2 linked regions of the Macaca fascicularis genome follow. The main gene of each other region encodes a partner of the protein of the gene in region 2 in a complex. Links are inferred from orthologs where the notes say so. Each region holds a gene or a part of one and is shown on either strand. Other genes may lie near its edges.

Region 1 (5,006 bases), on a different chromosome or scaffold from region 2:
GCTGCCCTGCCCTGTCTGCAAAACCTCACTTGTATTATAACTGGAAGAATAGGAAGTTGTTCAGCTGGCCTGTGCAGGTGACAGCTGTTTAAAGAAAAAGAAAGAAAAAAAAAAAAACCTGGAAAAGGTTAGGTTTCATTATAGTTGAAATAACCTTAAAATCCAGGTCGGTCGGGCGCGGTGGCTCAAGCCTGTAATCCCAGCACTTTGGGAGGCCGAGACGGGCGGATCACGAGGTCAGGAGATCGAGACCATCCTGGCTAACACAGTGAAACCCCGTCTCTACTAAAAAATACAAAAAACTAGCCGGGCGAGGTGGCGGGCGCCTGTAGTCCCAGCTGCTCGGGAGGCTGAGGCAAGAGAATGGCGTGAACCCGGGAGGCGGAGCTTGCAGTGAGCTGAGATCTGGCCACTGCACTCCAGCCTGGGCGACAGAGCGAGACTCTGTCTCAAAAAAAAAAAAAAAAAAAAAAATTCCAGGTCAAGCAGACAAGAGTGATGAGGTATCACCAAAGGCCCTGACCAGGCATAATATGATCAAAACCGCCAGTGTATATAGGACAGATGGAGAATCAGAGGTGCATGAATAGCACACACCAACTATGATGTCAAGAGTAGGAATCTGGAACAGAAAAGGAAAAAGACATTCCGATCCTATGAGATATTACCATCAACACCATCTATTCACAATCTATCTCCCAAGTGCTAGCAGTCTAAAGGTAAGATCCATTTTTCGTGAAAAGGGAAATTTGTTAAAAAACATTCATAAGTAACTGGAGAAAAAAGTATCAGTGGTGTGAGAATTACAACAAAACTGACAGAAACAAAAGAACAAAATGTGGTGAGAAGGTAGAGAAAATGATAATGGGCCAGGTGTGATGGCTCACACCTATAATCCCAACAGTTTTGGGAGGCCAAGGAGTAAGGATTGCCAAAGGCCAGGAGTTCAACCTGGGCAACATAGGGAAGACCCCATCTCTACAAAAATTAAAAAATTAGCTAGGCTTGGTGGCACGTGACTATAGTCCCAGTTACTCAGGAAGCTGAAGTGAGCTAGGATTATACCACTGCACTTCAGCATGGATAAGAGGCCCTGTCTCAAGAAAAGGGGGAAATAACAACAAACTAAAACAACAACAACAAAAACAAAAATAAACAAACAAAAAAAAGGGAAAGAAAATGATAAAAGTCAGCCTTTAGCAAAGCAAAATGTAAAGAAGTCATTTAGTAAAAAGTGAAAGAGTAAATAGGTACTTTTGTGGAAATTTAAACAATCTCTGTACAGGAAGTAAAAGGACTGTGACTGGGCCTTAAGGAACACTCTATTGGTAAAACAAACAGGAAAAGGACTGTGCCCATAGATTTTTGCTGTCTCCAGTGATCAGAATACTACCTTAGAAGATTTTAATAACACATTAGAAGACTTCAATATGTATCAAATGAATGGAGAGTACCCAAAGAATTGAAGAAACATTCAGATTTTAAAATCAGAAACAAGGATACAGCTGCCTCTAATTATTTTGTATAATTACACTGTAAGATTGAGTCTAAACTACCAGAGCTGGATGATCAATTATGTCACTAGATTTCAGATCTACATAGACATAGTAAATACTACACAGTACACATCAAAGTTCTAACAATTAAAAAGGACACGTTGAAGAAGTTGCTGGCACTAGGAAAAACAGTTCTATACATAGAGGGGACAAGAGAGCAGAGGTAAAGTCATCAGATGGCTTTCCTAACCAGTGAAAGTAAAGCAATAAGGAGCAAATGCTCTTTTATTGATTATACCCTCAGACACCAAGATATCTGAAAAATGTCTGGAATTGATGAACTAATATTCACAATGCATGAAAATTTCAAAACACAACTTAAAACTATTGCCTTCTTGGCCAAAAAAAAAATTTGTTTAAATGAAGAGACATTATCAAAATTTTTCACCTGGTATACTTAACGCTCTAAGTGTACATACCTATAAAAAAAAAACCTCTTATATTTAGTATTAGGTGTTTAAAATTAACAAGCAATAAGGCAGACTAAAAACCAATTCCTCAACTAAAGACATTTATATAACTTGAAATACTTACAGTACACTCTTGCATCTCTTGTTCCTTGGTTGCTAGTCGCATTACAAGGATGTTTTCCCTGCGTGCAGACTCCTGCTGTTGTTGCTTTAGTTTTTCTTCAGACTCTCTTAGGCCAGTTACATCATTAGCTGATGATTTAAAAAATAATTATAAATATAATTTTAAGATCAAGTTCAAATACTTCTGTCAAGAACAATTAAAAACTAGGGTCAAAAAATTAATCAAGTCTTTAATTTCCATCCTAACTACTTTTATAACAAGCAAATTATTTCCTGGTCATGACAGCTCATTTAGAAGGCAAGGTGTCATAGTGCTCCATGACTACCAACTGAATTATGTTTTCATAGTTTCATCTATTCCCAACAGAAGACAGGAAACATTTGTGTTTTACAGTATGCACAAAATCCTGATGAGTATGTTTTAACCTATTTAATATAAAAATGCTGTCTGGGCACAGTGGCTCACGCCTGTAATCCCAGCACTTTGGGAGGCGAGGCGGGTAGATCACCTGAGGCCAGGAGTTTGAGACCAGCCTGACCAACATGGTGAAACACCATCTCTACTAAAAATACAAAATTAGCCGGTCGTGGTGGTGCATGTCTGTAATCCCAGCCACTTGGGAGGCTGGGGCAGGCGAATGACTTGAATCTGGGAGGTGGAGGTTGCACTAAGTCCAAATTGTGCCACTGCATTCCAGTCTGGGCGACGGTGCGAGATTGTCTCAGATAAACAAACAAATAAATAATATGATAGTAACTGCTGGACAATTTGTATTTTAAACTTTGAGGCAGGATCTTATTCTGTTACCCAGACAGGAGTCCAGTGGCACAATCAGGGCTCACTGTATGTAGCCTTGACCTCTCAGGCTCAAGTGATCCTCCTGACTCATTTTTTTTTTTTGGTAGAGACAAGGTCTCCCTATGCTGCCTATGCTGGTCTCAAACTCCTGGGCTCAAGTATCTTCCCACCTTGGCCTCTCAAAGCGCTGGGATTATAGGTGTGAGCCACTGTGCCCAGCCTTAATCATTCATAATGTTCATGATTTCTTTGGATAACACAGTCACGTAAAATTAGAATTTCAGGGTATTAACCCTTCTGAAGTTAGAAAACAATATATATTGGTTTTTATACTCAACAAATAGTATGTGGTTCAAACAGTAAAAACTGAGACTAAAATGGCTTAAAATGATAAACTTTGTTATTTTCAGCAGATTTAAAAAATCTGTAATTATATATTACATATAATTAAGTTATACATATTAATTTAACCTGTCATAAATCTGTTACTAGTTGCTTCTATTTATTTCTCTTCTAGACTAGTAACTCACGCTTCAAGTCAAATTCCTATGTAGAAGGGGTTAGGGACAGGTAAGAAAAGTTTCAAGTAGTTCTGAGTTACTGTATCTATACTCAGAACCTTGCATATAATTTTGCTAAGTCACGCCATTACATGAGTATTACATGTCTGTTTTCTCCAATGACTATGTCTCATTCACCTTTATATTTTCTTGCACCCAAAAGTGCCTCTGTATAGTTCTTGTAATAAAACACCAGAAAAATTACATTTGCTTTAATAAAACCAATTACCCTTTTGATTGTAACAACGATCAAAAGGAGATTATTCAGTCTTTAAGAAGCTAAAACTCAAACTTACAGTTAAGATCTGTGTACTTGCCCTCCAAAGCTTGTACATATGCTTCATATTGTTTCCATCTAATAAAAAAAATCCATACATTAGTTGTTATAATAAAATAGCTTTTATTAAATAAACTAGAAGATATCTATAAACTCACAGATTTTAGTAATACTGAGCATTCTGCTGGATGATTTTTCATTTTAAATCCTTTTCTTAGACAGAGTCTCGCTCTGTCCCCCAGGCTGGAGTGCAGTGGCACAAACAGGGTCTGGGCTCAAGCGATATCCCTGCCTCAGCTTCCTGTAGAGCTGGGACCAAAGGCACATGGCTAATTTTTTGTAGAGAGGGGGTCTCACTGTTGCCCAGGCTGGTCTTGAACTCCTGGGCTCAAATGATCCTCACACCTTGGCCTCCCAAACTGCTGAAATTACAGGCCTTAGTCACCACATCCTGGCCCAAATCTAGTTTAACTGATAATAAAGTAGTCCACTCATTATTCCTTCCCATTTTACAGGAAACAGGTAAAAGGAGATATATAGAGAAGGTGTTTTCTGCTGAGAACATGCCAAGCGTGCTCTGGGTGAGATCAAACTCCAGATTTGGTTTGATACTTTGGTATCACTGGTGATGTTCAGGATAATCCTGGATTATAGAAAAAAAAATCCTACTGCTACTTTCATATGTTGTCCCCTTAGAACAAAAGGCATATTAGAAATGTGCCTAATTATGTAGAATTGAAGGTTTTTTGGCTCTTTTGTGAAAATACCATGTGACTCTTCTCAAGGTAATATCCATTTCTGCCTGTAAACACAGGGGGAGAATACAACATTTTTCAAGACTGTAATTTAACAATCACATCTAACTGGCAGAAACCTGCATGCCACACGCTATCGGAATACAAGGGCACCGTTTTTCTTCATTATACTTCTCTACCCTGAATATATACACTGCTAAGTCCTCTTAGCAATAAAGATTTTTCCTAGACTTATTAGGCAGTTCCTAATGGAAAGTACCCTGCCCTGAATGTCTGTTCTCCTGCATACTTAAGAGCCATGTTTTCAAGCTGCTCTTCAGGTACAGTTAATTAAAATTTGGCTTTAGAAAACCATTTTATAATCTTAAAAACAGGCTTGCCATGAGTTAATAATGTTACAACATAATGAACAAAAAGGCTCACGCCTGTAATCCCAACAGGGGATTTTTTGGGAGGCCAAGGCGGGCGGATCATGAGGTCAAGAAATCGAGACCATCCTGGCCAACACAGTGAAATTCCGTCTCTA
Region 2 (5,678 bases):
GTGGCCAACTCTGGAAGCAATCTACCACAGCAGATATGAGGAAAAGTTCAGAAGTGTAATGCATGCAGCACCCATCTGCTCAAAATTAGGCTTACACTCTGTTTTGACTAGAAGAAGTCTGTCTGCATTTTTCCTTCCTCCTCCTCCTCCTCCTCTGTGGCTGCTGGGCTGACAAGAAAGCAGTATCTTTCTTTTGAGCAGCAAACTGGTCAAGAGGAGTCTAAAAAGAATCTCTCTATAAGAATATCATAAGAGACCTTCCTGTACTTCAAAAAATTTGCCCAATATGCCACTGTAATAATTTACCCAGAGTTAATGTGAAAGCAAAAACTTCTGAGAGCTGCCCTTGATTTGACTGACTTTCAGGAGTACTTGTGCTACTTCTTTGCACCACTGCCCTCCAGCAGTGAAAGAGTGAGGCTTATCTTAATAAAACAAAAACAAAAAAACAAAGTTACACATCCCAAAAGACAGTGTAAATTCCCTAAAAGTAAATTAAGTTCAGAAAATGAGATGGAAATGAGTATTTTGATCACTACTAAATCTCCATAGTATCTAACACATAGTAGTCACTCAATACTTACTGAATGGATAAAAGTCATATTACAATCTTTCAATAGCTCCCTTCATATTCACCCCTTCCTTTTCATTACTGTTCATAACCAGCTTTTAGTTAAAGTTCTTCTCATCAGACACTTAGTTACAATGGACTACTAACCATCTTTCTCCTCTCCTAAATCTCCTTCCTCCTCACTTCAATTTATCTAGAACAGTAGATCAATTTTGAAACATTTCTATTTACAAACTTTAATTGTTTCCTATTGTATTCTGAATAAATTGCCAAGTCTTTACTCAGGTACCATGTACCTTCTGCAATCTGGCCTCAAATTTGGGAACCTAAAATTTCTCCCAATATTCCCAAATACAAATCTTTTATGTTCTGGCGAACTAATCCGGATTGACATAACACACACCGTGCTTTCCTACCTCTAGTCTAGACCTTTGCCTTTATCATATTCTAGACCTGGATTTCCCTCCTATACCTTCACCTACTGAAAACTTAGCGGTCACTTCAAGCCTGCACCTTGATGCCAGCTTCTTTCCAATGTCTTCCTGGGTCCTTAAACTTGCAGTCCTCCTCTTCTTTGAAATTACGTTTGTTGTTGTTGTTGTTTTGTTTTTGTTTTTTAAAGAGTCTATGCTCATGCTACCTCATGCTGTAAAGATGGTTCAGTATTAATAAACTGGCTCATAGCTCCTTTACCAGATCATAAACTCTTTGAAAACAGGAGCCATGCCAGTCAAACTATTTTTTTTGTATTTTTTGGACACAGTGTATGGCATCATGTAGACATTGGATAAGTCAGTGATTCTGGAAATGTTTCCATTCAGGGAGCTCCATTAAAAAAAAAAAAAAAAGGCCAAGCCGGTGGCTCACACCTGTAATCCCAGCACGCTGGAAAGTCAAGGCAGGCTGATGACCTAAGGTCACGAGTTCAAGACCAGCCTGGCCAACATGGTGAAACCCCATCTCTACTAAAAATACAAAGTTAACTGGGCGTGGTGGCAGGCGCCTGTAATACCTGCTACTAGGTAGGCTGAGGCAGCTAGAATCTGGGAGGCGGAGTGAGCTGAGATCACACCACTGCACACCAGCTTGGGTGATAAGAATGAAACTCTGTGTCAGGCCGGGCTCAATGGCTCACGCCTGTAATCCCAGCACTTTGGGAGGCTGAGGTAAGCGGATCACGAGGTCAGGAGTTCGAGACCAGCCTGGCCAACAAAGTGAAGCCCCTGTCTCTACTAAAATACAAAAATTACCTGGGTGTGGTGGCACGCACCTGTAATTCCAGCTACTCTGGAGGCTGAGGCGGGAGAATCACTTTAACCCGGGAGGCGGAGGTTGCAGTGAGCTGAGACCACGCCATTGCACTCCAGCCTGAGTGACAGAGTGAGACTCCATCTCAAAAAAAAAAAAAAAAAAAAAAAAATCTGTACTATACGGTGTTGCTCTTTATGAGTGCTATTTTAACATAGGTTACCTCTCAGGACTCCTCTCCGAATATTCAACATGGCCGCATGCGCGTCTATAAGCAACATGGCCGCTCTGCCAGTCACCAACATGGCAACCACAGCCTCACTGTGCCCGGAAGCAAGAGAGAGCAGGTAATAAAGACTATATTGGCCGCTCTGCCAACACCTAACGTGGCTCTCTTTAGAGCTTCCAAGAAAGCGCGACACCGGAAATGACTTTTCTGTCTTGCTCATCTCTAGGGGTCATTTTCCGGTTAGCCTTCGGGGTGCCCGCGTGAGAATTGGTTATATCCTGGAGCGAGTGCTGGGAGGTGCTAGTCCGCCGCGCCTTATTCGAGAGGCGTCAGGGCTGGGAGACTAGGATGTCGGACACGTGGAGCTCTATCCAGGCCCACAAGAAGCAGCTGGACTCTCTGCGGGAGAGGCTGCAGCGGAGGCGGAAGCAGGACTCGGGGCATTTGGGTGAGGCACTGGGCTGCTGGGGCCGAGGCTCAACTGGGGAGGACGGGCGGGATCCCTAGAGAAAAAGCTCCAGAGTTACTGCCCTTTACCAAACGGCCATTTCTATAAAGCCTCGTACATTGGTACTCCATCTCCCCCTTCAGCAGCACAGACCTTCGCCCTTCTGCAAGTAGTTCGCTGTTCCTCCTCACCCTGGGCCTCGGTTCTTCTTGCTCACTTCTATCGGACGGATGCTTGAGCCCCACCCTCGTCCTCCTTGCCCATTCCTCTTTAGACTACGAGGACGTCGCCTTTGTGAGGCTTCTCAGCCCCCTATCCCACGAAGCAGCAAGAACCCCTTTTTGTTGCTGCTATGGCGCTTTGTTCCCTCAGTTACAACGACTATTTTGTAGTGGTCATTTTTTGGCACCTGTGGGTACGGTAAGCAAGGAATGAACCTTCATATCCACAGTGTCCAATTTAGTGGCCCGTACAGAGTGGCATTCGGTGTTTTTGAATGAGTACCCCTACCGGCATTGTCTTAGCAATTTACATACCTAGCAGGAACCTGAAAACATTTGTGTTTGATTTCCAAACTTTTTCTCCTCTCCTGTTGCCCCTATGTCGCGATCATAAAACTTGAAGGAAATTTAAAAGATTGTTAAGTTCACTCTTATCCACTCCTTACCCCCAGGACAAACTCTGAATTATTTAAGGCAAACTAGTAACAAAGCTCTGCAAAAATAGTGACTCAATATCACCCTTGTGATAGATTGTTCCAATATTTGTCAGTATCTTCAACTCCATCTCTAAATCTTGTCTAGATCATGTTAGGTTCATGTGCTCATATTCTGGCCCCTAGAAATAGAAGATACACTGGCAGGATCCTCTCACCTAATTAATTATCCTTTCTTAGCTACAGTGTTCATGGGTCTAACTAGACAAAAATAAGTAAGAAATTGCCCCTGTCCTCAAGAATTTTAAAAACCATAGGATTCAAAGGTAGATGCTTACAAAAAGGAATATGATAGGATATATGTATGAAACCAAACGAATGAATCTACATTCTGTACAGTGAAGAGAACTAACAAGAGCTGGTGTAGGTAGTGAAGCCATCAAAGCCATCATAGTGGAATTGGCACTTGAATTTGGCCTTTATGGCTATATAGGACCTAGATAATTAAAGAGGTAAGAGGGGAGGATAGTAGAGTAAGAAGTGCAAGTCATTTGATCAGGCAATAATTAGTAGTCAAGTCTCGGAGTAGTTCCTGAATTACCTAAGAGGCAGAGTTTTTTTTTTTTTTTCCTTGCTCTAGAAACTTCATTGATTTATTTATAGATACAATTTTTTGTTTTGTTTTGTTTCCCCTATTCTTTGGTTTTCTGTTTTGAAACTTTTTAAAAATGTGCATAAATGATGCCAGCGACTTTTTTTGCTTCTGTTTTTGAGATAGGGTCTCTCATCGTTGCCCAGGCTGGAGTGTAGCAGTCCTCCCAGCTCATCCTGTGAGTAGCTAGGACTACAGGGGCATGCCACCATGCCTGGCTAATTTTTAAATTTTTAATAGCGATAAGGTCTCATTATGTTGCCCAAATTTGTCTTGAACACCTGGGCTCAAGCTGTCCTCTTGCCTAAGCCTCCCAAAGTGTTTGAATTACGGGTGAGAGCCACCATATCCAGGCTATTTAATTTTCTTGTGGAATCTTTTCCCTTTCAGTAATGGCAGTTGCAAAAAGGGACCTGAGGATCAGGTAGTTGTTTGTTTCAACAGAGTGATCTGCAAAATTATTTAGTTAGTTAGAGACAGAGTCTCCCTCTGTCACCCAGGCTGGAGTGCTGTGGCATGATCATGGCTCACCGCTGCCTTGACTTCCCAGGCTCCAGCAGTCCTCCCACTTCAGCCTTTCAAGTAGCTGGGGCCACAGGCGTGTGCTACCACGCCCAGCTAATTTTTGTATTTTTGGTAGCCGGGGTTTCACCATGTTGCCCGGGCTGGTCTCTGAACTCCTGAGCTAAAGCAGTCCACTCGCCTTGGCCTCCCAAAGTGCTGGGATTACAGGCGTGATGAGCCACCAGGCCTGGCCTACAAAATTAACTTTTAAAAAGCCACTATATTGGTGTACTACATCATTGATTACTTTGTGTTCACGTTTCTGTCGTTTTGTAACAGACCATCCTCTGTCTGTGGTGGTGGTGGTTGTTTCTTGGTTTTAATTGTTCCTCATCATACTTATTTTCTTTTTTTGAGACGGAGTTTTTGCTCTTGTTTCCCAGGCTGGAGTGCAATGGTGCGATCTCAGCTCACCGCAACCTCCACCTCCCAGGTTCAGGCGATTCTCCTGCCTCAGCCTCCCGAGTAGCTGGGATTACAGGAATGTGTCACCACTCCCGGCTAATTTTGTATTTTTAGTAGAGACAGGGTTTCTCCATGTTGGTCAGGCTGGTCTCGAACTCTGGACCTCAGGTGATCTGCCCGCCTCGGTTTCCCAAAGTGTTGGGATTACAGGTGTGAGCCACTGTGCCGGGCATCGTACTTCTTTATACTTTTCCATTTCTAAATTCATACTCTTTCAATGAATGATTCTAATTGTTCTTGGTCATTTTAAGCTTCATTTCATTTTTCTTTTTTGTTGTTTTTTGTTTTTTTGGGTTTTTTTTTGAGGCGGAGTTTTGCTCTTGTTGCCCAAGCTGGAGTGCAATGGCACGATTCTCCTGCCTCAGCCCCCCGAGTAGCTGGGACTACAGGTGCATGCCACCACACGTAGCTAATTTTTTTGTATTTTTAGTAGAAACGGGGTTTCACCGTGTTAGCCAGGATGCTCTTGATCTCCTGACCTCATGATCCGCCTGCCTCGGCCTCCCAAAGTGCTGGGATTACAGGCATGAGCCACTGTGCCCGGCCATTTCATTTTTCCATGATATTAGCTACATTTTGGTATTAGCCAAACTTTTTGCTGTATCAGACCTAACTACTAGAGCCTTGATACTTTCATCCAGGTCCTTGCTAAACATGTTTAATATTTTTGACACTAAGACTGTATTCTCCCTGCATGTAAATATCCTTTTTTATGTTTATTTTTTCTTTTTTAGATATGAGTATCTCTTGACTTGTATATCTAGCTAATAATATAGCTAAGACCCTTTTTTCTGTGTGTGTGTGTGAGACAAGAATCTCATTCTGTTACCCAGGCTGGAGTTCAGT

Evidence for each region. The genes of interacting proteins can lie anywhere in the genome.
Region 1: METTL3 (region 2) and WTAP share a complex: the UniProt entries of both Homo sapiens proteins name them as parts of the WMM complex. The link is inferred for Macaca fascicularis from reciprocal best matches to the Homo sapiens genes METTL3 and WTAP.

Annotation. Positions count from the first base shown.
Region 1 is NC_088378.1:11,244,084-11,249,089, forward strand, and holds part of WTAP (pre-mRNA-splicing regulator WTAP), read right to left. Parts: intron 3,804-5,006; coding exon 3,745-3,803; intron 2,219-3,744; coding exon 2,091-2,218; intron 1-2,090. UniProt on the Homo sapiens protein: Associated component of the WMM complex, a complex that mediates N6-methyladenosine (m6A) methylation of RNAs, a modification that plays a role in the efficiency of mRNA splicing and RNA processing.
Region 2 is NC_088381.1:89,184,444-89,190,121, reverse strand, and holds the start of METTL3 (N(6)-adenosine-methyltransferase catalytic subunit METTL3), read left to right. Parts: upstream 1-2,286; 5' UTR 2,287-2,396; coding exon 2,397-2,496; intron 2,497-5,678. UniProt on the Homo sapiens protein: The METTL3-METTL14 heterodimer forms a N6-methyltransferase complex that methylates adenosine residues at the N(6) position of some RNAs and regulates various processes such as the circadian clock, differentiation of embryonic and hematopoietic stem cells, cortical neurogenesis, response to DNA damage, differentiation of T-cells and primary miRNA processing.